Danio rerio: one gene and its partners. The protein of the gene in region 1 interacts with the protein of each later gene in a pairwise test. Links are inferred from orthologs where the notes say so. Each region holds a gene or a part of one and is shown in the gene's direction. Other genes may lie near its edges.

The links.
Region 2: the proteins of dusp12 (region 1) and eif5 interact in binary tests that used the Homo sapiens proteins (3 or more experiments, as listed by UniProt). The two-hybrid records come from large-scale screens. The link is inferred for Danio rerio from reciprocal best matches to the Homo sapiens genes DUSP12 and EIF5.
Region 3: the proteins of dusp12 (region 1) and ppp2r3b interact in binary tests that used the Homo sapiens proteins (3 or more experiments, as listed by UniProt). The two-hybrid records come from large-scale screens. The link is inferred for Danio rerio from reciprocal best matches to the Homo sapiens genes DUSP12 and PPP2R3B.
Region 4: the proteins of dusp12 (region 1) and rabac1 interact in binary tests that used the Homo sapiens proteins (3 or more experiments, as listed by UniProt). The two-hybrid records come from large-scale screens. The link is inferred for Danio rerio from reciprocal best matches to the Homo sapiens genes DUSP12 and RABAC1.
Region 5: the proteins of dusp12 (region 1) and ccnh interact in binary tests that used the Homo sapiens proteins (3 or more experiments, as listed by UniProt). The two-hybrid records come from large-scale screens. The link is inferred for Danio rerio from reciprocal best matches to the Homo sapiens genes DUSP12 and CCNH.

What each region holds. Positions count from the first base shown.
Region 1 is NC_133177.1:23,703,535-23,710,035, reverse strand, and holds the start of dusp12 (dual specificity protein phosphatase 12), read left to right. Parts: upstream 1-2,164; 5' UTR 2,165-2,282; exon of another isoform or gene 2,283-2,290; intron 2,291-2,521; 5' UTR 2,522-2,527; coding exon 2,528-2,790; intron 2,791-5,020; coding exon 5,021-5,134; intron 5,135-5,217; coding exon 5,218-5,336; intron 5,337-5,822; coding exon 5,823-5,910; intron 5,911-6,501. UniProt on the Homo sapiens protein: Dual specificity phosphatase; can dephosphorylate both phosphotyrosine and phosphoserine or phosphothreonine residues. Can dephosphorylate glucokinase (in vitro).
Region 2 is NC_133195.1:21,171,081-21,177,008, forward strand, and holds part of eif5 (eukaryotic translation initiation factor 5), read left to right. Parts: intron 1-347; coding exon 348-469; intron 470-568; coding exon 569-730; intron 731-815; coding exon 816-977; intron 978-3,037; coding exon 3,038-3,202; intron 3,203-5,068; coding exon 5,069-5,209; intron 5,210-5,689; coding exon 5,690-5,788; 3' UTR 5,789-5,928.
Region 3 is NC_133184.1:36,198,150-36,204,776, reverse strand, and holds the start of ppp2r3b (serine/threonine-protein phosphatase 2A regulatory subunit B'' subunit beta), read left to right. Parts: upstream 1-2,992; 5' UTR 2,993-3,063; intron 3,064-5,188; 5' UTR 5,189-5,298; coding exon 5,299-5,652; intron 5,653-6,627. UniProt on the Homo sapiens protein: The B regulatory subunit might modulate substrate selectivity and catalytic activity, and might also direct the localization of the catalytic enzyme to a particular subcellular compartment.
Region 4 is NC_133191.1:11,085,515-11,092,218, reverse strand, and holds the start of rabac1 (prenylated Rab acceptor protein 1), read left to right. Parts: upstream 1-2,724; 5' UTR 2,725-2,752; intron 2,753-5,207; 5' UTR 5,208-5,217; coding exon 5,218-5,288; intron 5,289-5,637; coding exon 5,638-5,850; intron 5,851-6,704. UniProt on the Homo sapiens protein: General Rab protein regulator required for vesicle formation from the Golgi complex. May control vesicle docking and fusion by mediating the action of Rab GTPases to the SNARE complexes.
Region 5 is NC_133180.1:52,027,757-52,034,444, reverse strand, and holds the start of ccnh (cyclin-H), read left to right. Parts: upstream 1-3,126; 5' UTR 3,127-3,348; coding exon 3,349-3,368; intron 3,369-3,501; coding exon 3,502-3,634; intron 3,635-4,868; coding exon 4,869-4,991; intron 4,992-5,136; coding exon 5,137-5,210; intron 5,211-5,289; coding exon 5,290-5,500; intron 5,501-5,656; coding exon 5,657-5,820; intron 5,821-6,688. Other genes in the region: uncharacterized protein LOC100150296, read right to left, coding at 1,468-2,775. UniProt on the Homo sapiens protein: Regulates CDK7, the catalytic subunit of the CDK-activating kinase (CAK) enzymatic complex. CAK activates the cyclin-associated kinases CDK1, CDK2, CDK4 and CDK6 by threonine phosphorylation.

The sequences.
Region 1 (6,501 bases):
TTCATACATATTGACAGTTGACATTCTATACAAATACATACATTACACTTTACACATATTCACACACATATGATACAATCCTGTCAGGGTCTGGGATTGAACCCTGGTCTCTGGTGTGAGAGGTGATTGACATTACCACTGTGCTACTGACAACACCTCTCTTGAGTATGCGCGCTCAACCCCCCCCTCGGCGCTTTACAATACGCGCGCCACAACACAGCTGATCAGAACGCGCGCGACAGCACCGCTATTCAGCACGCGCGCGGCGACAACACCCGCTTTAGGTTCGATCATTTCCATCTTTTTTTCATCTCCGCTACTAGCAGCACACTCCATTTCCGCATTACTGGATCTGTAGCGACAACAGACCGCAAAGGATTATGGCCACGCCGGGGCTGATGGGAAATGAAGTTTCAGCTACCTCCCGTTCGCTTCATTCGCCTGAGCAAATTTTCTCAGAAGACCTATAGTTTTACCGAGTCATGCGACTTCGGTAATATCGAAAAAATTTAATATTGTGGTATGACGGTATTTACAATACCGTTACATCCCTAATATATTTATATATATATATATATATATATATATATATATACATACACACACACACACACACACACACACACACACACACACACACACACACAAACACAAACATATTCACACTTGTCACTCTATACATATACACACATGATACACTTTATACACATACACACATGAAACACTCTATACATATGCACACACAAAACACTCCATGCTCATATACACATGAAACACTCTATACATATACACACATGACACCTTCCATACTTTTACACATATATGCACACTTGACAATCTATACATAAAATGCACTCCATACATGATACACTCTAAACTTATGCACACATAATACATTTTATAAACACATGGTACACCATCAACACTCTATACATATACACACAATTCACTTTATACATATTCACACTCTATACATACTGTATACACACACAATACACTTCATAAATATATATATAAACGCATAATACACTCCTGTCGGGGTATGGGATAGAACCCGGATTTCTGGCGTGAGAAATGATTGACATTACCACTGAGCTAGAGAGAACATAATACATTCTATACATATTCACACTTGACTCTGTATACATATACATACATGATACAGCTTATACACTAAGCTATTGGAAGTTGAACGATACAGTATCTGCTTATAAACTCTATACATACACACACCTTGCACATATACACATGAAACACCAAAACCATATGTACACATGAAACACTCCATACAAATACACATGACAACTTCCATACATTAACACACATGATACAAAATAAGATACAGGACACCTTCCAAACCTATACACACATGCAACACTCTATACAAATGCACACATGATGCACTCCATACATATGCACACAATACACTCTATACATGTACACTCCATATATACTCTCTATACATATTCACACTTGTCACTCTATAAATATACACAAATGATACACTCTATACATAATCATACTTGACACTCTATACATATACACACATGGTACACTCCAAATATATAGACACATGAAACACTCTATACATATGCACACACAAAACACTCCATACATATACACACAAAAACACTCTATACATATACACACATGACACCTTTCATACTTTTACACACTAGTTTATTTATATATATAGTTTGCATGTTCTACCCTGTGTTCGCATTGGTTTCCTCTGGGTGCTCAGGTTTCCCCCACTAGTCCACTGCGTAAGACATATGCTGGATAAGTTGGCGGTTCATTCCGCTGTGGTGACCCCAGATTAATAAAGAGACTAAGCCAAAATAAAATGAATGAATGAATGAACATTTACATAATGTCTTTGATAGAAAACACAATTTAATGTAATATAGAGTAGGCTACTTTGCAAAAATCTTATGCAACCATTGGTGTTTTTGATATGTAAGACCATTTAATTTGTTTACTCCAGTCCACTCTGTTATATCGGTGCTATAGAATATTTATTTAGAGAGCATTTACAATATACTCTTTTAGATTTACGTTTACCCCAATCAATGTCCTGTATTTATTTCCGAAGATCGCCCTCTAGAGGCACTTTAAAGCAATAATGCAACAACATCCTTTGCGGAACTAACAAGTACACATTGTTTCCTACGGACTTTTTATTTTCGTGGACACCTTTTTTGACAGCAGAGTAAGCACGTGAGTGTAAAAGCGTCAATGTTTACAGTAAAGTCATCATTAGAAAAGCTGCAGGCAGATTGGTGTTGAAGTTATGCATTTACATTTGTTGTTAAACTTTTATGAAAACTTAATGGTCTTGGAAATGCAATATCTGTTATCTCTTACTAAGAAGTTCTCATGAGTGTATTATATATACTTTGTTATGTCTAACTGGTCAGTGTAATGAACTGCACCATGTGTGTTTCGTTTCAGTTGCTTCAGTGAATGGATTGTATTTGTTTCATTGCGTTGATATTGAATACGTTTTGTGTTTGCTTAGTTAACCATGATACCCGTGGCGTCTGGACTCTACATCGGGTCAGTGTCTGATCTGAAGGATGCTGAGAGTCTGTCAGCTGCAGGTATAACACACATTCTGACTGTAGACTCAGAGGAAGCTTCTGTCACTGGATTCAACACCAAATTCATCCGAGCTCTGGATGATGAGTCCACAGACCTGCTGAGCAGACTAGATGACTGTACCAGCTTTATTTCTGAAGCCCTTAGCACACAAGCTGACTCCAAATCAGCAGCAGTTCTTGTGCATTGGTAGGTTTCATAGTTTGTTTGCTAAGTTTGTTGAATAAAAAACGTAACGGCATACACATACTTAAAAGGTAATTCAATAATACGTGATCCTAGACATTGAGGTAAAGTTTATGTTCACACATTCAGACTTTCTCTTTCATTTAAGTATTCTTTGCAAATATTAAATAGGGAAATCATATTATCAGACATCAAATATCAAAGTACAACAATGTTTACAGTCAAGTAAAAAGTGCTAATTTTGCTTTCGAATCATACTTGCATATGATTTCAGACCGAATATTCAAAGTAGCGTGGTAAACAATATAGGGACCATGTCACAAGTTATCACTGTCCAAATATGAACAAATGTGGGAATAAAAACTAATTTTACCTAGACCTCAAATTACTTCATAAGTGTCAATTGTTTTACAAGTGGGATTTATACATTTATACACTGAATAAATAAGTTTCAAGTGATTTAAGGTTTGTTAAATGAGATGATATTTGGTGAAGATACAACTATTTAAAAATCTGGAATTTCAAGTTTAAAAAATTAAAAAATTGAAAAAATTGGGCTTAAAGTTCAAATTAACTTCTTAGCTTACTTATAAAAAACTCAGTTTTGATGTATTTACAATAGGAAATTTACAGGATATATTCAAGGAACATGATCTTTACTTAATATTCCAATGATTTATGGCTTATAAGAAAAATCTTTTATTTTGGCTATTGCTAAAATATTCTTGTGAAACTGGTTTTTGGTTGTTGCTAGAAGGATTACACCTCCGGCTAACAGGAATTATTTTTGTTATTTATTAAATTACTCATAAAGTTTTTTTTTATTATTTTTATTTTTTTTATTAACGTCTACCCCAAGTTTAAACCTACTCCTCACAGAAACATACAAGATGGAGTATACAGGGTGATAAATCGGACATTCTACTAGAAGCATAGATTTTAACTTATAAAAAATGTGACAGGGCCTTACCTTTAAGCTTGTCTTCCTCAAAAAATGTGAGTGTACAAGCATTAAATCATTTCTATCAATGATAGAAAGCATCCTTGATCACCGTCAGCTTCTCCTCCACCAAATGATGTCACTTGCTTTGAGTCATAGCCTTAAATGTGTATTGAATTTTATGTTAAATGAACTGCAAATGTGACAGGACTGACTGAAGCATGGGGAAAATTTTAAATCTATTTGTAGTATTTATTTGTAGAATTTATTTATCATTTCATGTTGTTACTCAAGAGATTTGTTTTTCTAAATAACACAACTATTAAAGCTGTAGGTTTGATTGGGCTGAGGACAAAGACAATGACAGGGTTTGTACATTTGTACATTGTACATTCGTAAAGTTTTTTAATAAAGAAAAAAAAATCTGAGAACAAATCAATGACATATTCCTTTACAGAACAACTCACAGAAGTCAACCATCAGTCCATTTTAGAAATTTTTGGGACAAAATACTTTTTTTTCACTGTATTTATGTTTTTATTTATTTATTTCAGGGACAGATAATGTAAGTTTCTGGTAGAAGGTCCCATATACAGTTGTGGAAAAAATGAGAATCTACTTGAAACTTGAAGTTCTCTAATTTGTTTTACTTTTATAAGTTTAAAATAAAAGTGTCATTTTGAGCAATTTTGTGATACATTTGATTAGGCATAAACAGAAGTACTGTTTTTTAGAGAACCAACCAAAATTAAACAACATTATGCTTTTAACTAGAGCAACCGTAAGGGAGATATGAAAGCTAGTTTTCTGTTTTTATTGTATCAATACTCTTGTATCGCTATTTTATTGCAGCAATTTTTCTGATACCTTTTGGTAGATATTTATTCTTGTTTAATCATTAACTTACATCAATTATAATTAAATCATATTTTTTTGTATTCTGTGAACTGTTGTGTAAAAAAAACAACAACCAAACAAACTATTAATAATAATTAAAATAATTATTCAACAATTATACCATTTTTTTTCAAAAGTTCCAATTTCAGAGGAGTTCATGAATCAATATTTAGTGAAATATCTCTAAGTTTGAATCACTATAAGTGGAAACATTTGTCGTTCTGACCAGTTTTCATTTTCGGAATACATACAGTAAAATTAAATAAGTACAGTATGCTCTAAATGGTTGTATTTTTTTATTGGAAATTTACAAAAATGTTGTCAAATCTTTATAAAATATATTAAAACATATAAAGACTTAAAGACTAAATTCCTTTTTCTCTCTCTTTTTTGTAGCCATGTGGGGCAAAGCAGAAGTGCTGCAGTGGTGACTGCTTACCTGATGAAAACACAGCACCTGACCTTACAGGAAGCATATTCTAAACTGCAAAACATAAAACCAGATGTCAAGTGAGTGTACTTCATTGTTGTGTCTGTAACTAAACATTTATGAAAAGAGGTGTTACTTAGGATCATTCCTAACTTTTTCCCAGAATGAATGAAGAGTTTCTGGATCAGCTGGCACTTTATGAATTGATGGACTGTAAAGTGGACACCACAAGTCCTGTTTACAAACAGTTTAGGCTGAAAAAGATTACAGAGAAATATCCAGGTATGTTCATTCTTATTGAAACTTCTTTGATAAACAGTATGTGACTTCATTATACTTTCTTATGCTGTAAAGTGTTTTAATGATATGTCATCAGTGAACCATTTTGGAGAACAAAATGTAAACAATGGCACTGAACTGAATGAAGCTAGCATGTTGAATGCTGAAAATAGATCAATTATTGTCATGTTTTGGCAATTATGAATCAGTACTAAAGTCTGGCAATAGTTATTACAAATAAAGTATATTATAGCCTATTAAAATCACGGAGCCAAAATATTACACCTTCTAAGTCCTTGATTTAGCAGTTTCCACAATGGTTAAGACAGCATTAATAAGCAGAATACCATAATTAGTTGTAGATTACCATGCAATCCATGCTGTTGTTTACATCTGAGTATTTCCAAAGTGGCTGCGCATTTATAGTAAGTAACTGACAAAATTGTGACATGATTATTACACAAATGAAATGTATTTTGATTACATCAGAGCTCCAGAATGTGCCAAAAGATGTATTTGCTGTTGACCCTGCACAAACCCAGAATGCAGAAGCTGTATACAGATGTAGAAAGTGCAGGTAAAAGATTTTTATTTTAAGATCATTTTTTTATTGTATGAATTCAAGTCTTCGTACTTGAGGCCAAAGAAATTGGATATTAGAAATTAGTTATTAAAACTATTATGTTTAAAAATGTTGTTATGTTTAAAAAAAGTCTCCTATTTAAAGCAAGACTTGAGAAATATATAAAAAATAATGTATATTTCGAAAAGGGCTGATCATTTTGTCTTCAACTGTATGTGCTGCATTATTATCATTTGACCTAACCTGTTTGTAATGTCTAAGTAATATTTGTTTAAATAGAGCTGTTTTGAAACACACATGCAATTTAACATGTTAAAATTTTGATATTTTACCATCAAAATGTTGATAATAAAACTGCTTTATTGGCAACATCTATTTCAATGTGGTTTATCATTAAATTTGATTTTTTTAATGTTTAGTTTATTTTTCTGCAAATCTTAATTTGAATGTTTTGGTCAATACAAAAAATACATTGAAGTTAAATTTAAGTAAAAAAAGGTTTATTAGGTTTTTGTATTGGATGAAGGCTTATTAAGATTTTGTGCAGATTTCTTTACTATTTTATCACTACTTTATACTGTTATA
Region 2 (5,928 bases), on another chromosome or scaffold:
GGTTCGCTTCAGAACTTATAAGTAGTTCAACATGCAGATGGTTTGAAAGAAATGAAAGTCAGAACTTTGACTCTGTAAAACAACAACATCTATCAGCCAAGTTGCTTGTCGCATCGCGTGTAGTTAGGACAGGGTCTTATCGTCATCTTCACATTGCATTTAATTCTCATTTCCTTGCTTTAACGTTTGAAAACTTTTTAGTTGAACATACAGGAAGTCCTGTCAGTTTCTGAATATTTGGGAAACCCTGATGTTTCTCAATATGTCAAACTTGGGATGTGTATGTTGTGTTCATGAGCTACACTCCATTGCTCTTTTGTTAACTTCCTCCCATCCTCCTGGGGCAGAGAATGAGAGTGGATCTGTAAAAAAAGAGAAGGAAAAGAAGAACCGAAAGAAGGACAAAGAAAATGGCTCAAATGGTGGAGAGGCTGGGAACCATAATGACATTGATGCTCCTGATGCTGTTGTGAGTTTTTTTGGTTTAATTTCTTGTAAAAAAAATAAATAAAAAATCTTCCAGCCTAATTAGTGTGGAAACTGATGTTACATGTGATTACCATGGCAGGATAGGGATGATGACGATGAAGACTGGGCTGAGGAAACCACCGAAGAGGCTCAGCGCCGCAGGATGGAGGAGATCAGCGAGCACGCCAAGGGTCTCACACTTACTGAAGACCTGGAGAAATCCCTGGAGGAAAGGGTCAACATATTTTACAACTTTGTCAAGGTAATGCTGGCGTTTAGGGGGCAATTGTGTTTCTGTGTTTGTTTGTTTTTCACTCTGCTATAATCGTTTTGCTTCTGCTCTTCAGGAAAAGAAGGACAGTGGCACGATTGACTCTGCAGATAAAGACATTTTGGCTGAGGCTGAAAGGCTTGATGTGAAGGCCATGGGTCCTTTGATACTGAGTGAGCTGCTCTTTGATGAGAACATCCGCGACCAGATTAAGAAGTACAAGCGTCATTTCCTCAGGGTACGACCTTGCGTCTGTTAGCATTTGTTTTGTTTTTAAATTGTAGATCACTGTTTTTTTTATTTTTTTATTTTTTTTTTTTTTTAGCCGTCTGCCATTTTGAAATCTCTTCATGCTTCACAATATTTGAAAGGCTAAAACTGTCAGTTTAATTTTATTTATAAAATCTGAATAATTTTCTAATTTAATAAGTTTCTCAGTTTTTAATCAATGAAATTATAAGACTTTATAGTTTTCTGTTGATTTCTAACATTGCCATGAAATGGAAGGTGTTAGCTCACCCTGAAGTTAAAGTAATTGTCCTTTTAGAGAATTATGTTCTTTTAATGAAGGTTTGGTCTCGCTTTATATTAGGTGGCCTTCACTATGTACCTGCTTTAAAAAAATAAATACAATGTACTTTATGTAATAATGAATTGCAGAACACTTATAGTGCTCTTGAATTGGTGGTGTGGGTTAAGGTGTAAGTGATGGTCAAACGTGTAATTGCAGAAATTAACTGGATGTAATAACATACAAGTATTTTAATCATAAGTACGATGTAAAACATGTTTGTTTGTTTTTTACAATAAGTACATTGTAACATGAATTTTAGTGTAAGTACATTATACAGTAGTAGTTAAGGCCACATAATATAAAGAGGGACTGAAAGTTTATTCACCCAAAACTAAGACATGAAAACATTTGTGAAGAGATGAGGAGGAAAAAAGATCCGTATGAGTTGAGTGGTTTAAGCCTTCAAAAATGATGCGATCACTTTACATCAAGAGTTCTCAAACTTTTCACTTCTTTCTCCGATCAATTTTTGAAGGCCCACCTGTCTGACATTTTCTCTAAAATGTTTGTATGAAATGCTCATTTAAACGTAAATATTTATCATTTTATATATTAAAAAAACATTGATTCAAAGAGAACCAGTTTAATGGGGAGACTGCAAAATACCAGCTTCTGCTTTAAACTGGACTGACTGAATATCTACTATTACATTTCTACTATTAAAAACTGCTCTAAATACACTAACTCACTAAAACACCCTAAATCTGTTGGAATGTGTTGATCTGATGTTGAGTTTGCAGCTGGATATTATTGGGAGATCGCTGACAGGAACCAGAGTGTGGCCAGAGTGCGCCCAAAGCTCACATGCAGGCTTATTTTACATTCTATGGCAGAAACCCCATTGAGCCTCGCTAAATCCTCCTGTATGGGTGGGAGTCCATTATAAAACACTCACACGACATTCATTTGGATAACTATGTTGATATATCAAATAGTTCACACAAAAATTCACAAAGAGAGATTTTCACTTCTCGCATAGTTTGTGACTGAACAGACTTATAGCCCCGGTCAGATCACTTGATTTTTATTGTCGGTTACGAAAGTCGCTACTGTATATCAGATTATGATAATTTTTCTCGATAAAATATTGAACTTGTTGTATTAAGTGTGCCAGACTACACGTTCCTTTACGATCTATCATCCTGTGACATCTATGATGAGCAATATTCCCAAAGCAGTCTTATTTCATTTTGTGTACCAGTTGCAGACATGATCGTGAGGCTGTTTTTTTGCGCTGAGTTTGAAGTAATTAATCAGAGAATGGGGAAAGTGTGTTGATTTTTTTTTTTTTGATCATTTTAATATAGAATATTAATAATGAAATCCAAAAATTACAGCATAATATTGAGAGATAAATTTAATCTTGCGGCCCACCTGTAGGATCGCTGAGGCCCACTATTGGGCTGTGGCCCACCAGTTGAGAATCCCTGCTTTGCATGAACTGAGGCATACGCTATAAGGGCAAAACCCTCCTTTGAAAAGTGGGTGGGGAACAACATCTCATTTACCTTGCGTCACACAAAAACTGCTTTTTTCCCCCACCCAAAAGTCTTTAGAACATGGAAATGATGATCTTTACATTCTGTGGACACCTGAGAGTTATAATGAATGTAGCATTGAAGAAAAGCCATGACCACTTAAAAATTTCCCCCTTGTTGTTTTTTTACAAACACTACTGTTGATGCACTATAGTAAACTTAGAAACTTTCCCTTTCTGCTTCCAGTTCTGCCACAACAATAAGAAAGCTCAGAAGTATCTGCTTGGAGGCTTTGAGTGTCTGGTGAAGCTGCACCAGACCCAGCTCTTACCCAGAGTCCCCATCATACTCAAAGATCTGTATGATGGAGACCTGGTGGAGGAAGATGTCATACTCGCATGGGCTGAAAAGGTAAAATCCTGACACACAATCTAGACCTGACCTTCTTCTAGTATCTGTCATAAAACAATCATACAGGCTGGAGTTGAGGGGGGCACCGAATAAATGAGTTCACATGCATGAAAACAAATCTGATCTGAGACTGATCCCTGTGGAAAGTGCGTAGCTGTAGATATAGGCATGATGAGCCTTGTTGCTAGGCAACTCTTGAAGGCTCTTTTGTCATTTTAGCCTGAGCATCTTGAGGGGGTTGTAATGTGATGTCTGTGACCTGCAGGCTGCTGGAGAGCTCAGGCTCTGATAACAGCAGGCATACTTGACTGAACTAGCCCTCCAACACTTGTTGAGCTTGACCACATTCAGGCTGTCAAATGCATATGGTCAGCTTGCTGTTGTAGTGTTACATGCTCATGTGGCTGAATGTATTTAAATGGCCTCTATAGACCTGATACTCTCTGCCTATAGACTCATTTTTGGGTTTCCCGGTAGCAGACGGCGTCATAGCTGGAAAAACTTATGGTGCGGTGAATTGGAGAGTACAACTAATACATTTTTACAACCCTATTTGCTGAAATAATAAAAAAAAAATTCCACGAGGGTTACACAGACTTAAAGAAAAAGGGGGAAAATATCAAATTTACTCAGCCCCATTGACACTACATTAGAAATGCATCGCATAAGTGGTAATTTGTTTTTGTAATTTGATGCAAATATGATGTAATACATGAATATAAATGTACAAACTTAAAAAAAAAAAATAAAGTATTAAACTTTCAAAGATTTATGATTGACCATTAAACGCGTCATAACAGTCTTGTAAAAAGGGTCCATTGATCTTTTATTTATTTTTATTATTTAACTGGTCAAACCATAAATGTTTTCTTGTCCTGATTTTTAACACCATCACAGCATTTAGTGAAGAAATCAGCGTAAATGAAAGCTTATCTTTGTATTGTTTTTCATTGTCTCTTTAAAATGTTCATAAACTCCAAAAAACGGTACTTAAAGAGATTAATAAATATTTTGGAGCTTCATATATAGCAAGATAATAATAACAACATAATCTCTGAATATCACTAAAGTAAGACCAGGAAAGTTCAATTTTTGCTTCCTGCAAAGGTTTGCTTATAATAGAAAGCTACAGCTTTTTTTATTATGTCTTATATATTTATATATATATATGTTAATAACTTATTTATTTTCAAAGTATAATACTGTAACTTGCATTATGTAAGAGTTTAAAATACCATTTTCGGAGGACAAAATAAGTATAAATATTGAAAAAAAAACTGCAGGGTAAAGAACATTGTGAGAGTGGTCTTGCATGGTTAGACAATATACACACGCATACATCAGCACTGATTAATCTTGGAGTCCAAAAGTTCTTTCCAGTTGTCCATAAAATAGCCCCTTTCTGTTTTTTTTTTTTTTTTTTCCATCTTCCATATTTCTACAACAATTGTTACATTTTTAATAATAATAAAATAGTCTTGATAAAGTGCACTAAAGAGAAACAAAAAAATGTAAAGACAAATGCTTACTTTAATCTAAAATATCATCTAAACAGTTACACATTTAAGCTTTTCTTTCACAAAGCTAAGTTGGTTTTTGACCGTTTTTTTTTTTTTTTTTTTAATTTTTTTTTTTTTTTAAATGTAGCAGTTTTTGATCTTTTATATATTTTTTTAAAACTTCTTTCTTTGTTGTTATTAGTTTTGAATGATCAAGAAAAAGCTGGAAGATGCACCACTCCAAAAAACTAACTCTTGATTAATCTGTGCACCAAAGAGACTGATCTTAATGCTCTCTGTGTTTGGCAATGTGAGATCACATCTTGATGCCAGCTGTAAACAGAGCCTAAGCCTGTTTCTGTTTTAGGTGTCCAAGAAGTATGTCTCCAAAGAGCTGGCTAAAGAGATTCATGCCAAGGCTGAGCCCTTCATCAAATGGCTGAAAGAGGCAGAGGAGGAGAGTGAGGGCAGTGAGGAAGAGGAAGATCAGGACGAGGACAACGTTGAGGTAAAAGCCGCAGTATACATTCATTTAATGCGTCTTAAAATTTTCAGCTTTTTGATTTCAAAAGTAGCTCACACTATTATTAATATTTTTTTAATGCTTTTGTTAATCAATAATTAAAGGTGAAAGAACCTAAAACCTTCTTTTGACATTTCTCTGAGGTGGACTGTTGTCGTCACACTGATCAAGTCAAGTTCAATGCTATTGATTACTATTGGTTTTTGGTTTGCTGCTTATTGTAAGAAGTCACAAAGCATGAAAATTTCATTAGACCATTAATCACATGGACATTAATCAGCTGCCAGTGAACACATCAGACAAGACCACAAATTTTAGACCAAGATTATAGGAATCTGTTAGAATTTCCAAAATTTGAAACTGACCAAATTGTGGCCATAATCAGAATAAGGTAAATGACCAGTTTACTGTGATGGCCATGTTAATTAACACACACTGAATTGACTCTTGTGTGTTTTCCTGTAGGTGGTTTACTCCTCATCTGCCCGCGAGCTGAAAATGGAGACCACAAAACCCGCTAAAGCAGAGCACGAGGAGGAGGACATTGACATTGATGCCATTTAAAGATGAAACCAAAAAGCTTCCGTTGCCTCTTGACAATGCTGAGCTTGTGTTTTCCAGACGCATGCCTTTTCACCTCCGTGGGCCTTGTTTCAGCTGTAGGCCTGGGTTCCGCTCTGCTCAAAGCCTCTTCTTTTAGTCTT
Region 3 (6,627 bases), on another chromosome or scaffold:
CAAACCCTGAAAGAATTTGCATTAAAATGCAAGAACTGACAATGCAATGTTTATTTTTTGTAGGTTCAATTTAGACAAATGTTGTTTTCTTCATAGTAAAACAATTCAATTCAATTCAGCTTTATTTGTATAGTGCTTTTACAATGTGGATTGTGTCAAAGCAGCTTCACGTAAATGGTCATAGTAACTGGATCAGGGTAGTTCAGTTTTTAGTGTTTAAGTTCAGTTTAGCTCAGTTAAGTGTGGTTTGAAGTCATTATTGAGAGTCCAAACACTGAAGAGCAAATTCATCGATGAGTAGCTTTTCAGATCCTGAACCAAATAAAAAAGAGCATTTTGCATGGTTGAATTGTTTCTGAAACATTTTCTAAAAGTGACATTTAAAATGAAAATGCCGTTCATTTTTTTTTGTGTAATATGTTTACAATTAACATTAACAAGGTCATTGTTAGATATATTGTATGGAAAGTTTGGGACCTTAGCAGGGGAAGAGCTGGGACAAAGTAACATGGGATGAAAGCAACAAAGTGATTTTCTCGAACTCTGACAACATTTTATTCCCAGGCTATAACAGCACATTCAGCATGCAACCCTCGATGGAGCTGCCAAATATCATGTGATTTCTTGTGTCCCACAGTTATCTCCAAATTTCAGTTTTTAAGTGCAATAAGTAAATTATTGAAGTGGTTCTTTTTTCCTTATTACATATTGTGTTTCTCATGTGTCACACTAATGATCAATCTACAAGTTATTTAATGCAATAGCACACCCTTGAGTTTGAAATGTCTGAGTTTTAAATTGCAAGAGTTCCTGTGGGCACAAAAGTAACACGTATTTTTGTCCTGCTGCTAATAGACATGCCTTATTTTTCACTTCCACATTAGTTTTCAGTTTTTTTATTCATATGTTTTATAAGATTATTGCATGTAGCCAATAATAATAAAAAAGAGCATTTTGCATTGTTGAATTGCTTCTGAAACATTTTCTAAAAGTGACATTTAAAATGAAAATGCCGTTTATTTTTTTTGTGTAATATGTTTGCAATTAACATTAACAACGTTATCGTCAGATTTATTTCAAATAAACAAGATTGAGCCAGTAAATCTAGCAAATATTGTTGTTTTACTTTTGACCCACCCGTGTGTTACTTTCGTCCCAGTCTATGGGCTCAAAAGTAACAATGTGTTAAACAAAGTAACTTTTGTTCAAAGCAGGGGTTTCTAAACTTTTTCTTACGAAATCCTAAAAACCAAACTTGATTGAGGCTAGTGGGCCAAAGGTGAATATAGTTGCAATGGGTAATTTCCTAGTTTATTTAATAATATTTTTAAAAAGATTAGAAAACATTGCTTTATATAAACTAATACAGTATTTTTTTTTTTCATTATTAAGGAACTTATTATGGTTTCACCCTGCCCCCCCGCCACCCACCCACCCCCCCATGCGGTACAGGTGAATTGCGTAGACTAAAGTGTCTATAGTGTATGAGTGTGAATGGGTGTGTGGATGTTTCCCAGAGATGGGTTGTGGCTGGAAGGGCATTCACTGAGTAAAAAATGAGCTTGATAAGTTGGTGGTTCATTCCGCTGTGGCGACCCCGAATTAATAAAGGGACTAAGTCGAAAAGAAAATGAATGAATGAATGAATGAACTTATTACAGTAAAAACAAAACTATCAAATTTATAACAGACTTACACTGGTTTTTGCCTTGATTTGTTCCCTGATGTCTTCTGCATAGACCTTTATTCGACTAACAGTATTTACATAAAAAAATTTTAAAAATCTGATTCATTTACAAAATTTAATTGAAACATTTAATTTCAGTTAGCTTTTTTTATCTCAGCAATAAAACAAAAAAGGTTAAGTCAAATTAGAAACTACAATCTCTGTTAAAGGCATTAGCCCCAATCCTCTCCATCATAATCACTCTCCTCCCAGACGGGATGCTGGGCCCAATCAAAGGTTACAGTGGGACAATTTAGGCCCGCGGGCCTTACTTTGGGCATCTCTATTATATATTGATACAAAATAACACCAGATTTTGAAACACTATTGTGAGTTAGTAACCACAGCAAAATAGTTTTGCTAAAAACATTATAAAATGTTATAAAATTCTTTTAAAATTTAGGTTTTTATGAAAAATGTTTCTTTTGTCCCCGCTTTCACCAACTGTATAACTGAATAAATAAATTAACTTGAAGTAGTTTCAGAGGATGGGTGAGATTATTATTATTATTATTCATTCATTAACTCATTTTTTTCGATTTATTCCCTTTATTAATCTGGGGTTGCTATAGCTGAGTAATTCACTAACGTATCCAGCATGTTTTTCCCGCAGTGGATGCCCTTCTAGCTGCAACCCATCAGCGCATGTATTTCGATTTGTGGGTGAAACCGGAGCACCCTAAGGAAACCCACACAAGCACAGGGTGAACATGCAAACTACATACAGAAATGTCAACTGACCCAGCTGATGCTTAAACCAACGACCTTCTTGCTGTGAGGTGATTGTGCTACCCACTGCACCACCATGACGCCCCTATTCTTATTATTATTTCAGTAAAATAGAAAGAAATTAGTAAATTCATCAGTAAATTAGAATTGTTCTAAGCAAACTCATGCTTTGTCATTTATGTTATGTTTGTTGTCATATAGGCTATGTTGAACTCCTGTGCTTTGTTTTTTATCGTTTAAATTCAGCTCAGTGGCAAAAATATATATATATATTAATTAATACTGCTGAGTAATTTTTTTCTATAACTACTAGTAGAATATTTTACACCTTTAAACAAAAACCTGTTTATGCAATGTTTCGTTCGGAGTCAAAACGTTCACTTCAGACAATGAATCGGATAATTCGACTCTGTAATCAAGTGAAATGCAATTCCTTTTGCGAATCGATTCTTTAAAAGAACCGCTTTTAATGAACGAGTCTTTCGCGTGTGTTCGCCACTCTCGCGATATAAACTTTTCCCGGTTACCTGAGGAGACGAGAGTTTGGTTCAAAGTGTACCCCTATTGGAATGAACAAAAACAAACAAAAATCTTCTTTATAACTGCAGGTAGAGTAATGCAAACCAGTTACCGTTTACTTTGTCGTGTTTACCGGCTGACTGTACGTTTCTTTATCTATGTTACGAAATGCTGGCGGTGTTTATGTAATAGTTTGTCCGTTAGCAGTGAGAGTATATGCTCCGTGTTAGTCTGCTAGCAACAGCAACAAACCAGTTTATTTCTCTCGTGTTTCAGCTAACTTGGGGTTCTGCCTAAACGCTTAACGTGTGTGAAATTGTGAGTTAAATAAGGTGAACTTGAATTGGGATAATTTGGTGTGTTCTCCACTTTCGCCATCCGCGGTGGGATGTTTATAAACCGTAACGTTAGTTTACAATAGCATAGTTGGTTCAGATACTAGTACTTTAAGTGACTTATAATAGAATTCAATAAAAGCACATCTTGCTTTCACGGAGTTTAAAGGTTGTTGTTTGTGACATTTGAAGCCAACGGCAAGTTAAACACTTTAAGTTACTGGTATAAAGTTGGTTTCAGATTCTCACATTCGTTCAGTCATTATTTGTGAGACGACATATCTTGTTTTCCATACTTTGAATATTCAGTCTTAAATCGCATGCAAGTATGACTTGAAAACAACATTAGCACTGTCTGACTGTGAGCAATGATGTACTTTTTTATTATTGCAATAGCAGGCAACTACAACAGGTAGAAATGCAAACAGTTAGATGTATAACAAACAATACAAACTGCAACAGGAGAAATGCGACACTTTTAAAGAAATATAATAAAGGTAAAGCAAAAGAAAGACAATGAGGAAGAAAAAGAAACAAAAACTAAATAAATAAATGAGGGCACATGAAAAAAATAATACAAATTAATGTAGTATATTAAATAAAACACATGTTTTATAAGTTTTAATTGTTTTCTTGTTATGAGACTGCGATATCAATGTTGTTCTTTAATTGTCATTGGCTGCTTATATGCAAATAATACTTTTCTGAGATTATATCATTAAGAAGAAAGTCTGAATGTGCAAATATAAAGCCAATTTTACCCTAGTTAAAACCCTTTAAGTAACGTTACTATCATTAAACATGATCGTAACGTTTTGGCAGGGAATTAATTAACATTGCATTGCTATTTTGTTAGGACACAGTGATATATGTTGCTTAGTTGTGTGAGATCATAATCAAACAGCTGTCTATATTTTTACCCATTTTACACACATGGAAAATAAATTGTATAAAGATTTTTTTATTGTTGTTGTACTGTATATTCATTTGTTAAATGTATTCAGTTTCATTCATTCATTTTCTTTTTGGCTTAGCCCCTTTATTAATCAGGGCTCACCACAGTGGAATGAACCACCAATTTATCCAGCATATGTTTTACGCAGCGGATGCCTGTCTAGCTGCAACTTATGACTGAGAATCACACACATGCACTACGGACAATTTTAGCTTACCCAATTCACCATTTAGTGTCTTTGGACTTGTGGGGAAAACCAGAGCACCCGGAGGAAACACACACCAACACAGGGAGAACATGCAAACTCCACATTGAAATGCCAACTGACCCAGCCGGGGCTCAAACCAGCGACCTTCGTGCTGTGAGGCGTTTGTGCTATTCACTGCGCCACTGTGACACCCAAATGTATTCAGTTTGTTTAAATTGTTTTCCTTAACATTTTTTGTTTACATTTTATTTTTGCCCGTCAAACACATACCATTTTCTTTAGATTTGGTTGCATTGAGTATTTGTTCAGTTTGTTACAAATATAAACTACTACACAAATTGATATGCATGAACAAAGCATTTGTCGTTTACATGTTTTTTATGCACTTTAAATAGGTTGTGAATTTTGCAACATGGTTTACTAGGGTAAAATTGGTTTTATATTCGCACATTGAAACTTCCTACTGAATGATATGATCTCAGAAACGTCTTCTTTTCTATTCTCAATAGGGAAATCATATTAGCAGCCAATGAACTATCAAAATACAGCATTGTTCACAGTCAATGTTGTTTTGAAGTCATACTTGCATGCAATGTCAGAGCAAATATTCAAAGTAACATAGTGATAATTGTATTGTCTCACAAGTTATGGCTGAATGAATATGAGGATTTTTAACCGGTACATAGTTTTATAGTGCTTTCTGCTTTCTTTTTCAGGTATTTTTCATCTTTATTTATTTATTTGACTTTTATTTATTTTTTTATTTAATTTTTTTTTTTTTTTTTTTTTTTTGGAGAAAATCTTGTCTGCATGAAGAAAACCAGAAATGGCATCACCACAAACACTTCAACCTGTCCTGAAAATGAAGGTCGACGAGCTCTTCCTCTTTTGGTTGAGTGAGCCGAGTACTCAGGCGATGCTAAAAGACTACCTCAACAAAATCAAGAGTGGAGAAGAAATAGATCTAAGCCATGGTGAATTCAAGGGCACAAGCACTTTGATGTTCACTGAAAACAACAATAACAATATAGCATCAAAGATTAATGCAACGGAGAGGATGAGTGCGGCCCTTGGTGCCCCGTGCAGTCCTCCTTCGGCCACGCTGCCATCTGCGACTGGCAGCAATAACAGGGCAGGAGTGAATGCGAGGGCCCTGCGACGCTCTGTCAGCACTAAAAAGGTAAAGCCTTTATGCTCCACATTCGCTTCACAATACAGCATGACCCTGGTTTTGTCACTTTGCAGACTGCTGTGTCAGTCTAAAGAAATGTGCGTTCTACTTTATTCATATGTGGCGATGGCTCTATCCATCAGTTATACTCCATCAGTTCTTCGTATACATAGAAACATTACTCAATTTCCTATGTTAGCATTTCATGTTGTGAAGCATACATTGTCAAGCATGTATTCATGTAGAAACTGTTTTAGTATAGCTTACATACTTGTTTGGTTTTATATCAATGGTTTGGAAGTTTTTATTTATTATTTTAATTTTAGATAATGTTAGTAATTTTGTGATACTGTCATCTTTATTAGTTTTTAGAATTTCAAAAGCAGATCTTCCTTGCTTGACAGTGTTTTTTAGATTATTAATTTTATATTAATAGTAATTATTATCATAAAAGTAACAACTATTATAGACCATGTGGTCATGTCATTGGCCCATAAACATTTCCCGCTTGTTATCAAATGATTTCATAACTGTAACTAGAGGCAATTCAATTATAACTTAATGTTAAATTATGAAAAATATTCATATCCATATGAAAAAGGGCAAATAAGTTATAATATATGTAAATGAAATTATTATTTTAACTAATATAAAATCATATTACTATTTAACAGATAAATTTAACAAACATTATACAAATTGAATAAGCAAATGTTACAATACTGTTTAGTTTTTAGTGTATTAACTACAGAAAAATTGTATTATTATTGAAGCTGTAAATAATGTTAAGTCAAGATTAATGATTCCTCTGTTTAATTGGGTTAATTAACGTTAATGACAGATGGAAGCAGGTTAGTGCAATTAAAACCTAATGCACAGATCTGACATATTGTAACTGTATTTAGTAGTTATGCCTTTTAGATTTTCAGTGTTAATATTGGAGATAAATGTATATTAATATACATGCATAATGTAGTTAAATGT
Region 4 (6,704 bases), on another chromosome or scaffold:
TCTAGTTAAAATGATTATTATTGATAGGGATTTAGATTTCTACTATATTAGCTATTCTGCCCTTACTCTGGTGTCTCTCTTCCTAAAGTTAAACAGACAGATAAACTCTAAAGCAGATAATGCTGCTTTATTCCATGCCACAATTAATATGTTGAAACAGAGTGAAACTACGTGCATACAGTGCTCTATAGATATCTATGTACATAACATTAATATCTAAGTTGAAATATATATACAAACAGATAATAAACTTAATGCTTCCACAGGTGATCACAGGATGAGTGATCCAATTAATCTCAATTCAGTTCATCTTTATTTCTATAGCGTTTTTACAATGTAGATTTGAGTCAAAGCAGCTCAACATAGAAGATTATAGTAAATTGAAACTGTGTCGGTCCATTGATGTGCAGCTAAAGTACCGAACCATGCAAACCAAGGGCGACAGTGGCAAGGAACAAACTTTACCAATTGCCGAAAGTGAAAGAAAAAACCCTTAAGAGAAACCAGGCTCTGTTGGACACGACCTTTTCTCCTCTGGCCAAACTTCTTGCGCAGAACTGCAATCTAAGCGTCTGACGCTGGAGAGCGCTGGACGTCCATCGTGGAGAAGCTGCAGGTGGGAGAGGTCACCAGCTGGTGTGCAGACTGACTCTTCAGGATCATTGAGGAAGACTCATCTGTCACTGGGGTCTTACAGGAATCAGTCTCATGCTATCCACTCCTCCATGACCTCCACAGCAGCTGCTCAGGATACGGCCTGGTCCAGGATTATGGAAATCTCTGGAATAATAGAAACAGACTAACATAATTGATGTTCAAATTGTAATTTATTTTGGGAAGTGTTCCCAGCTTCAGCTGCCCTAAGTAATGCAGACTAACAATCCTTTGGAGGATTTGGATTTCAAAAGCATTTGTGTTTTATGTGTTTGCTAATGCATAGAGATGTGTATTTATTCTAGTTTTAAACTGACAGAGGCATAACAGTAATGATGTTACTCCTCTGAGAAATAAAGTTAATTACCAGTTCTTCACTAGTTTTGACCATAGGCTGCCATTTTTAAATCAATACTTAATTTCTCACTATTTAAATTCCATTTTAAATATCAGTAACAGTTGCTGGTAAAACCTTTTTTTTTCCAATAAATACATGGTCACTAATGATAATCTTTATTCCAGTATAGGCCCACTGAATATCAAGAATTCAGATATCACTGAAATGGTATTTGCTGATATGTGTGAATGTATCTCAGCTTGATGCATTTAGGAATTTCTAATATTGATAACAATAATTAATTTCCTATATCTAAAATAACTTTTTTTTTTGCTATTAGCAATCACACTGTGCCTACACTACCTGACAAAAGTATTGTCGTCGATCCCTGCTGTAAGAGCAACAAATAGTAACTTGACTTCTAGTTGATCATTTGGAAAAGTGGCAGAAGGTAAATTTTTTGATTAATCATGTTGAACTGCATCACACATACTGCTGACCTATTGGAACCCTCATGGACCCAAGATTCTCACAGAAATCAGTCAAGTTTGGTGAAGGAAAAAATATGATTTGTGTTTACATTTATTCAACATCAACAGCCTGAGATATCAAGACATTTGCTGCCCTTTTCATTACATATCACAGGAGAGGGCAAATTCTTCAGCCGGATCACGCTCCTTCTCATACTTCAGCCTCCACATCAAAGTTCCTGCAAGCAAAGGTCAAAGTGCTCCAGTATTGGCCAGCCCAATCACCAGACATAAAAGTTATTGAGCATGTCTGGGGTAAGATGGAGGCGAAGGCATTGAAGATGAATTCAAAGAATCTTGATGAACTCTGGGAGTCCTGCAGGAACACTGTTTTTGCCATTCCAGATGACTTTATTAATAAGTGATTTGAGTCATTGCAGAGATGTGTGGATGCAGCCCTCCAAGCTCATGGGAGTCATACACAATATTAATTATTTTTCCATTGCACCATGACTTTATATTCTATACTGTACATTATTTCTGTTAAGTCTTTTGTTTTAGCAAAGTCAGGCCTTACTATCCTCATTAAATAATAAAAAATCAAGGCATAATCATATTTTATTTTGGTAAAAGAAGCGTACACTAGAGGCCTTTGCCTTTCAGCCACTGATACCAAATCATCAACTAAGTCAAGTTATTTGTTGTTCCTAAAACTTGGATAGGCCACAAGGTTTTTGGCAGTGTGTACTGGAAAAGAACAGAAATCCAATTCCTGAAATTAATAGCATTTAGCTAGAAAAAAAGTATTTATTGACATCACATATTTATAATGCTGCAAATGAATGTCAACTATACAATGTTCATTACTAGGTATGTCTGTTCTTGAATATTAAAATATATTATATATTATCAAGGGCTGATTTAGTGATTTTGGGGCCATAAACAATTCCAGCCAAGGGGCCCAAAAGTTCTAGAATGCATCTTTTGTACTTGAATTTTTAAAAATTATTTTCATATTTTTTTAGTTTTGCTGTTTTTTTCTTATATCATTAAACCTCATTTTCTATATTTTATCTTAATGCAAAATAATAGTTATAACATGTAAAGGACATTGTATCCATTTAAAAAAAATTTAGGTGCATGCCCTGTATGCTGATCCGTGTCACTAGGAGGCAGTCGCAAGTTTGACTCGTGTTAACTTATGTCAACAGAAGAAGATCGTCACCGCTGTTTGCGAACCACATCATATCCGCTGCACATCAACACAGTCAACACATCTACACAAAGTGCTGTGAGTATGATTGTTACTTTAAGGTTTACTCCCCTTTTAAAGCACAATTCTAGAAATATTTCGTCTCACTGTCTGTCGATTTCTCTATGTTACTAACGTTACCGATTGATCTCAAAGTTAAGGGGTATCGATATATATTTTGAGAAAGAGCGCTTGCTGCTGTCTGTAACGGATTTGATAAACAAACTTTATGGATTATGTTTTGTGACATACCAAAAAAAGAAAACGTTGTTTATTGTCTGACTGTAATAATTTATTTTTTGAGGCACATCTGACGTAATGTAGCAGCTTAACAAACTTGCTCTACCGGATTGTTTCTCTTCTTGAACGCAGAGTTTCAGTTGCAGCCCATGAGTGACATCATTTTTCCAGTAACGTCATTGAACACGTTCATAACTTACCATAACATAGAAAGCGAGCTTCATAGATTAAGTGAAGACATACAGAGGAAGTTTAGAAAGTTGCTTTCTGTGAAGGAGATCAAATTCATTGTTTTCCTATCAAGTGTAAAAGTCTTAGTATCCCTTGACTAAAGTTATGTGCATGTTCTTGTACTTATAACGTTAGAGGTAAAGTTGGTTTTATATTCGCACATTTAGAAGTCCCTATATTGTTTACCATGTTACTTTGAATATTCGATCGGAATTAGCCTGCAAGTATGACTTCTAAATAACATTAATTCTATCTAATTGATTGTGAACAATGTTGTACTTTGATAATCATTTGGTGCTTATATGATTTTCCTATTCGGAATTTGCAAAGAATACTTTTCTGAAATTATATTGTTAAGGAGAATGTCTGAATATCCGAATATAACTTTTCCTTTATCTTATACTTCACTTTGAAGAACCTTTCATCTATAGTTTGCTATTCATTAATCCAGCCTTTTGAAAGGGTTTTTTCTTAATAGGTAGATCTTTTTGCTGTTGTTCGCCTCATTTTCTGTTTAGTTATGAGATTTCAATGCTGAATTTAGATGAAATTTTAAGCACTTTTTACCTGACTTTATTGAATCAATTATCTTGTTGGATGGTCATCATAACCACACTTTTTGATGTACCAAAACATTTCCTAAATATTTATAATAAAGAAATAAATATGGCAAATATGTGTTTTTAAAACAGAAATATATTGCATCATTTATCATGCATCAACGTTTTAAATTAGAAACTGTAGCCTAGTGTAATTTATTAAGCAAATAACTGACTGGCCAGCACATTCAACTTTCCTCAGTCAGAATGTGGCCATTTAAATAATAATAAAAAACTAAAACATAATAATAATAATAATAACAACAACAACAGTTAAGAGCTTCACAGTTTTTCTAGCCTCTTGTATAAGTACTTTACACTTTATTGGTTATTTTTTGTTTCAAGAAAAGTGATTGATAATAAAAGTTACTTGTCAAATCTTTTCCCAATTTGAAAACAATAAAGTAGTGAAAGATGACTTTGCTTATGTCAGGTGTTTTCTTGCACAGCTGGATGTTGGACTCTTGAAAAATAATTGTTTGTATTGGCCAAAACTGATTAACTGAAGTCACACCAGGATTACGCTTGGTCTTAATGCCTTTTTCGATGGGTTATTTTCACTATTTATGATGGCATAGCAGTCAAAAAAGAACAAATGAGCTCATGTATTGGACAAATTCTGGACCTTTGTCAGTGTGGGTGGGTGGGTCTTCCGAAAACCCCTGGCTACGGGCCTGGTGAGTGTTTTTTTTAAGTGGATAAAAGGATTAGTTCACACAAAAATAAAACTTCTGTTATTAATTACTCACCTTCACGTCCTTTTAATTCCTGCATGAAATCTAAGTTTCCTCATCATCCTTTTATGGTCCAGACACATTTATAGTCCAGAAAAGGAACTAAACACATTGTCAAAACATTCCATGTGACTTCAGTGGGTCAACTATAATCATATGAAGCTCCAAGAACACTTTTGTGTGTCAAAAACGTATCAGATCAGGACATGCGTTTATTATGAACTCTGATTACCTGAAGCGGAAGAGAGGACAAATAGTGGTACTTAATCACATAATTTAAATTTTTGGGTGAACTAACCTTTTGAAGTTTTATATGAAAGGCCATGGTCCTTTGTTATTCATACAATGCAAGTCAACAGTTACCTGCACTTATAGAGTCAAACATAAATATACAGGCAAAACATATTTAACTTCTGTGACACCTGAAAACACATTGAGGTCTAATAAAGGGAAACTATAGGTCTGTGCAAAAAGCTGAGCAATATTAACAGTAACTTATTATTGCATCTTACCCAATGATCCCACTTTCTTCTTTTGACAACCACAATGTCCTTTACATCTCAATCAACCCACATAGTATAAATGTACCAGTGGCTCTCAACTCTGTTGGAAATTAAATCAACATATGAATATATTTAAATCAAAATAGTAATACATTCTTGTTGATTAAGATATGTGTTTTATTATTAGACACGTCGAGATGGATGCAAAAGTAAGTGACCCCTTTAGCAGCGAGGCAGAGCAGCTTCCAGGAGCAGGAATTGTGGGAAGGTGAGTCTGTCACCAGAAATACTACAATCTGTAAAAGCCCAAAACTCCAGAAATTGTTTATTGTTTAACTCTTATTGAGAGTCACATTAGATAAAAGACACTGCTAAATGATTAATTTCTTTAAAAAAATTATTTTAATTGTAACTTTCTTTGTTGTTGTTTATATATATATATATATATATATATATATATATATATATATATATATATATATATATTTATATGTATGTAAGTATATATAATATGCCCATATGCGATGTTGTTACCTTTAATTGAGTTATGACGCTATTAAGTTATGACGCTATTATTTTTATTACTCAATATTATTGTCGTCTCTCTTGAATGTCAGGCTTTGGCTGCCCAAAGGTCTGTCTGGAAATGTGATTAAGGATTGGGTGGACCGCAGGCGGAAGTCCATCCGTCCATGGGCCGGCTTTGTTGACCAGCGCAAGTTTTCCAAGCCCCGTAATTTTGGAGAGCTGTGCCAGCGTGTTGTGAGGAACCTGGACACCTATCACAGCAACTACACCTTCATCTTCATGGCTCTCATCCTCTATTGCATGTAAGGAACTGCTCAGTAAAAATCACCCTGAAATTTAAATGTATGCAAATAAAATGCATTAAACTAGTTCATATAGACAAAATAGGCTATAATAAAGACACCTCAAAAGGTAAAGTCTAGATTGCATATGCGGCCGGCTGGAAGTGCGATATGCACATCAATATAGCACCATTTTTTATGATGCTGTATAACAATAATTAAGGGGACACGAAACACCAAAACGCATTTTTTGAGCTGTTGACAGTCGTATACGTGTCCCACACTGCTAAAAACACTATTAGGACACATATATTTCACTAAAAAGTGAAAATTGGTTGTTTTTGCATTATTTCGAGCAAATTCGTACTTCCGGTTTGAAACAAATTTTTGAAGCTGCGTCACGGCCATGAGATCTTAGCGTGTATTCCTGCTTATAGACTGGACGTCTGTACCTGGGAGTTTCTTATTACGTCTCTGAGTGTGTTGCATTCAGTCATGAGTAAGACTTGGTTCAAACCAATCAGCGCGTTCTATTGTGTATGCGGTGCAACTTCTTTAAAATGCATGATAGCTTCCAAGTCTGTTTTTACCAGTTACAGTGTTTAGACGGCAGAGAGACGACACGTTGTGTTGCCAAGCGGGAGAACATGAATTGTTTGGAGATACAGGTCAACACTGTTGCTTTTAGAATTTGCTGCAGAGAAGGTTTCGTTTTCATTTTCCCTTTATGAGAGCGCAGCTGTACTGTGGATCACGTGTGCACGTGTTTAAGGAACATTGTTTACCCGAGAGCATTTCTCATCTGGAAAAGGTGAAATCCTGACGCCGCTCGTCTTCTTTTAATAAAGACGTGGCTCCATTTAGTGTTGATTGTC
Region 5 (6,688 bases), on another chromosome or scaffold:
GTGTGCATAAAACAGGCTTGAGTCTGAATACAACATCATGAGTTTATTAAAGCCCCATTGATTTACTCAGAACTCAACTAGAAGCTTCAGCGTTTCTGTCGTGCATATTCAGGCGTCAATGTCAGCCGTTCATCACGGACAGTCAACACTTCTATCTCTCCACACCATCAATTTACAAAATCATTGCTATCTGTCGAAATAGCATAGGAAATATTGACAGAAGATCAACTGAGGTGCATTGAATTTCTGTAACCCATTCTAAACAGACTGAAATAAGAAGACATCAGATAATAACGAAAGTCATCTGCCACAATGTGTTCACAGTTCATGGATAAAAGCACTGACGCCTTGCTCATCTCCACCTGCAGCAAATACCAATGCAGACAAAATGTCAAACTGTAAAATTCCTTGGGCAACCTAAAGCCTGCTTTTCCAGCAGTGCTGACACCAGAAATCAGCTGCTGCATGACAAACAGATCATGCAAATGACCTCTGATGGATTCAGAAGAGTGGGAATCTTACAGTCCATACATGGGAAATGAGATTTTAGACCAGCTGATAATGATAAAACACTGACCGAGGTTTTGAGAAGCTGCTATTTGTTGTGGCACCATCTTTAGTAGGCTACAGACAATGCACTCATGATCCATCAGTTTTTTCAACTTCCCAGCTGCCTATAAGGCAGAGCTTGGATCTCATCAATAATGCAACGAAACATCATGTTTATGCAGTTCACACAATGACAGAACACTAGTACCAGACTGTAGCCACACACTGAAAACAAGCCTCAAAAGCATTGGACAAAATGACAGTTATTTAGCTTAAGACATATACATCGTACCTAACCAGCAGCAGCAGATTAGAGAGTGTAGAAATAGGCAGTAAATACTCACCTTTTGATTCTGTTTTCTGCAGGCTCTTATCGCTTCATGGTAGCACAGCACACAGGAAAAATAACTGTAGTGCCATGGTGATATGCAAATTAATGGATCACGCTGAATACAAGGGCATTTATTATTCATAAATTACTCATGTTTATGCAAATTAGGTTACACAGCCCTACTCAAATAGGAGCTTGGTAATTTATGCTGCCTTGCTTCATATGCCTTGGCTTCTTGTTTAAAAAAGCTAATATTTGTTATAAAATATTGCGTGCGTGTGCAAGTGTGTAGTAAAAAACAGTCATAAACGTCTTATTTTTTTAAGAACAGCTTTTATTTTTTTTGTGTAAAAATAAAATCATTGAAGGAGATTCAAATGTTAACAAATTGAGGACCTTAATATTCTACTGTGAAGCTGGATGCAAAATAGAATAAATGATTGGACTGTTTGCAACATAAGAGGGACGTGTTTAAATATAACAAACACTTGGCGCCCCCGTGTGGTCTCCTCAGAGAAAGAGGTTATGATGATGCTAAAACAAAGACTACATATGAAAGTACATTGTACACTTCAGTACATATGGCTTTAGGCTTGCAAGCTGTTGTTTTTTCCTAGGGTCACAGATCTCCTCAAAACATTGTCAACCTCTTTTTCAAAGCGATGAAGCAGTTTAAAGTCACAGAATCCCCTGTAGAGTAAACCGGTTGCCAGTGTTTTCATGGCCTCCTTCATCTGCCACAGTGAGGGTACAGTGACGCTGTGTGCATTTCCATTGAGCTCAGCTGTGACGACTGTGGGTTCGAGTTTGGGAATGTCCAGATCTGATAAAACATCACTTTCACTGTACGATTGGTCGGTTGTACTTGACTCATCAGTTTGCATGCGATAGGATGCACTTTCTTCCTTAGTTTGGTCATTTGGTGGATTTTCTGGACATGGGTTGGGGTTGGTCACACGTTGTACGACTCTTCCCCTAGCTTTAAAGCACTTCAGCCAGTCCTCATTTGACTGGAAGTTAATGAAACCCATCATCCGAGCCAACCGAGATGCTTCAGAACAAATCACTGAGTCATTTACTGTAACGTTGTTCTCACGGCAATGGTCGATCCATCTCCAAAGCGCATCTTCAAGCTGTTGCATGTTTGCATTTGTGAAATTCGTCCTTGGCTCCAGTTTTCCCATACTCTTTTTATCCTGATTATTTTTGCCAATCTTGAACATTGATCGAATGTGTCCCTCTCTGTTTAGAAATCGAGTAAACCACTCTGCATTTGCCCTGAAGTTACCATAACCCACAATCTTGGCCAACTGAGCAGCTTTTGAACGAATAGTCGATTCATTCAAGTCAACGCCGCTCTGCTGAGTATGATCTATCCACCGCCAGAGTGCCGCTTCGAGTCGATGAGTCTTTCTGGCTCCAAGGTTTTTTTGAGACTCTGTCACTTTATCTGCAGATTTTGGATCTCCAGCGGCATTCCCCTCTTTCTGATCTACCTGGAACATCTCTCGTATCACTGGCTCCCGTGATTTAAAGCGTTTCAACCAGGCGGAGTTCGCCCGAAAATTAGAGAGACCCATTTCTTCAGCCACTCGAATCGCTTTTCCACGAATCATTGGCTCGTTTACTGTAATACCGTCGGCAAACGAAGCATCTATCCACCTCCACAGTGCTGCTTCCAATTGATGTGTCTTGCAGGATAGATAGACAGCTCCAGAAAGGTCCGACTTGGCGTTTTTCATGTTTCTTTTCCGGAGCCAGATGCTAAGCAGAGGAGCTGAGACGTTTAGCAAACGCGCAGCAGCGTTTAGGGGCATTTGAGGAAGTCGATCATATTTCTCGAGTATATGTTTTCTTTCCTGCAATGATCTACGGATATATTTCCTCGTGGCCATGTTTATGTGCGGTGAGAAGAAGTGATGGGGATTCGATTTCGAAGTCCAAAGTGGATCTCTTTATTGAACCGGTTCTTACAGAATGATTCGATTCGAGCAGTAACATCTCAAAAATAATAAACAAATATATAAATAACGCGACTGTGCTGTAGTTTCATCAACAACAATTTGTTAAAAACAAAAATATGTGTTTATAAATGTCTTTCATGCTTGGTTTTAGCACATGTGATAAGTTTATTGCTTAGTGTTCATTTAAAACGGTTCATTAAAACAAACTGTCCGAAAGAACCGATTAGAAAAAGTGAATCAGACTCGTTAGAGATGAACACAATCGACATCATCCAAAGGCGCAAGTGGCGTGTATCGCATGCGACGCTTTCTTGCGTGTTTAGATAACGTACGTTTATAATCGTGAAACTTTTGAGTGCGATACGCAGCTTTTCGTCTTGTATAATAGTTGATGTTTGTACGACTAGACTTGATTTAAGAAACATCATCGTGTGCATTAGGGGTGAGGTTATTGTTTTAACGTTAGTCAAACTTTGAAACAGAGTAACTTACGCTTTTAATAAGATGCGAATGCATTTGCCTCGGTAATACTGTTCATTAATTGAAATGCTAATAATTAACGTAGCTTGATTAGCGTTACAACTAATAATTGGGCTACGCAGCTGCATTATGTTAAACGCACATCTGACGTTAATCATATTTTCCTTGTTCTGTCAGCGGACGTGGGTTAAACATGTATCACAACAGCTCACAGAAGAAATTCTGGACATATGATAAAGAGGAAACTTTGGATAAATTAAGACTTGAAGCTAATCAGAAGTTCTGCTCAAAAGCTCTGTCCAGTGGAAAGGTAATTCACACGAATGCAGATCTATATTTCTCTAGTTATAACCATGTGTTATTATAAAAAAAGTATTATATTATTTGTATTTCATATTATTTGTGTAATCACAGATTTACTACAAATACCCTGAGTAATCTTTGATTATGCATAATGATTGTATTATTTTCTTGTTGTGATAATTGCTAAGGCTTTTATCTCATTGTACCATATTATGACAATAATACAAGTTGCAAAAAAAGTTTACTTAACAAAAAGGACCCTACACTGTTGAGTTTTGCTTTTTTTGTACATACATTTTTTTGATTAAACATATATTTCAACCTAAGTAAATTGCAAAATGTTGAAAAAAGTAAAATAGTTTACATTACAAGTAAATGTCAGTAAAAGTAGCATCAACAGTGAAAATAGCTACATTTGTAATAGGTGATGTTAGTTTAATTAATAAAAATATAGGACTGAACTTTATGACTTATAAGCTCTTTTAAAGGGATCGGTCACCCAAAAAGTTCAATTTCTTTTTTCTGTAGAACATAAAAACAAAATATTCTAAAGAATGTTGGAAATTGGCATGAGACGATAACCAGTTTCGAGGTTTACAATGGTTTAGAAAAGTCAAGGTTTTAAAACTGCTAGAATTTTCTGTTATACTGTCCTATATATGCTATATGTAAGGGTTGTTTTATAAATGTGTTTAAAGAAATTTGTGTTTTTGAAACTAAGACAGCAGAAGTCAATGAATTATTTTATTTATTTAGCCTGAAATGTTTACTGCTCTATAATATTTTAAATGTTTCCTAAAATAAAATATAGTGTTCTGTTCGATGGTGACCCAGACATTTGAAAAGAATTTACTTTTAAGCAGTAATCACAAAACCATGATACAGTGAAATTTTGATATTTTTATTCAAGGTCATCATACCATCAGAAACTTACACCAGCCCATGCCTAGTTGCAAATGAGCTGTCATCGGCAACCACTGTAGAAACCAAAAACTACAGAAGTCATTGGCTGCTGCCACTTTCCAGCATACTTTGTTTCAGTTTCTTTCATCTATTAAACACAAAAATTTCAGAGTTTGAACAAATAGGCGAGTAAACAATGGCAGATTTTTTTTTATAGTAGTAGTAAACTATCTTTTTTAAGTCTATAAAATAATAAAACATTTTAAAACTTTTGAATTTAATGCTTTATTAAAATTATCTAAGATTAAATAACCAAATCAACACGTTATCTTTTTTAGCCTGGAATAAATGAATCCACACTTCTCAATGAGCAGGAAGAGAAAGTGCTTTTCAAACACTATGAGAAGAGATTGCTAGACTTTTGTGCTGTGTTTAAGCCTGTGATGCCTAAATCTGTTGTGGTAAGTAATATCAGTGTTGCCAGTTAAGCATATTTAATATATCATATATAATAAATATGATTTATATATTTAATAAATAAACAATGATTTATTTATTATGCTCTTCTGGCCTTTTGTGTCTTATTTTATTTGTTTATTTGTTCAGGGCACAGCTTGCATGTATTTTCGAAGATTCTATTTGAACAACTCATTAATGGAGTATCATCCTCGGACAATAATGTAAGCATAGTGATTGATTGGAATAAGTTAGAAGATTATAAAGTATTTCAGATTCTGACTTCCATGTCTGTTTTTGCAGGTTGACATGTGCATATCTGTCCTGTAAAGTGGATGAGTTTAATGTGTCCAGCACTCAGTTTGTGGGGAATCTTCAGGAGAGCCCAGCGGGACAGGAGAGAGCTGTAGATCAGATTCTGGAGTATGAACTGCTCCTTATCCAGCAGCTGAATTTTCATCTGGTCGTTCACAATCCGTATCGACCTTTGGAGGGTTTTCTGATTGATCTGAAGGTGAGCCTAATGCCTAGTTGCAAACAGTCCTATCTCTAATGCACAGCATTGGCTGAGATAATGTTATTATGGCGAATATACTGTAGCTGGTGTGCATTACATTTGCCACATTACCAATAGTCGGTTAACTGAGTGCATGGCGTCTGCATTTTTCAGACCAGGTACCCATTGTTAGAGAACCCAGAGATGCTTAGAAAAAGTGCTGAAGACTTTCTCAACCGAGCAACAATGACAGATGCCGGACTGCTCTTCTCTCCATCTCAGATTGCTCTCACTGCTGTCCTCAATAGCGCTGCACGTGCTGGCCTCAAGATGGATGTGTACGTTTTTATTTATTTATTTTTTTCGTATTTGCAGATTATAAAAATATTGTGAATATTGCTGCAAAAGAGACGCTCCACCTTGTATTCTCTGATGGTAAACTTGACACTTATGTTTTTCACATTAGATAAGTGAAAAAAAAATTCTAATCTAGATGCAGTTGAAGGTTTCCCCCCCCAAACTATTTCCAAAGTGATTTTCACCAGAGCAAAGCCATTTTCACAGTATTTTTATTATATACCATTTTTAGAGAGTTTTATTTATTTTAGTTAAAGTAGAATAAAAGTAGTTTTAATTTTTAAGGTCAACATTATTAGACCCCTTAGTTTTGATTGGCTAAAGAACAAACCTGTGTTGTACGATGACTTTCATCAAGGTGTCTGCAGCGTCTTATAAAGTATTAAAAATTGATAAACCATTTAAGAGAAATTTAAGGTCCTAAAAAAGTATTAAAACATTTTAAAAGCTATTTTACATTGTCTTAAAATTTAGATTATACAATGTAGTTGTATGATAATTTTGCCTTTAATCTGCCAACTCTGGGGTGCTGTGTGGTTTATGAAATCGATAAAATCCTGCTAGATTTAACATCACATTGATTTGTTTACTGTAGTAACTAAGGCAACGCCGTTATTCCTGCTGTTCTATTGTAAAGTTGCTTTAAGGCAAGTCACTTTAAAAAGCCTCTCGGGCAGTATGCTCAGGCATTTTTTTTGAAAATTCTCCAAAATTGCTTGTCATGCTTACGATTAAATTTCGTATTAAGAATCACCAATAAAATTGAACAATTAAACAACAACAACTACAGAAAATCTACAGAAACTCTCTTCTGGTCCAAGCCATCATGCAATCATCAGTCTTCATCAT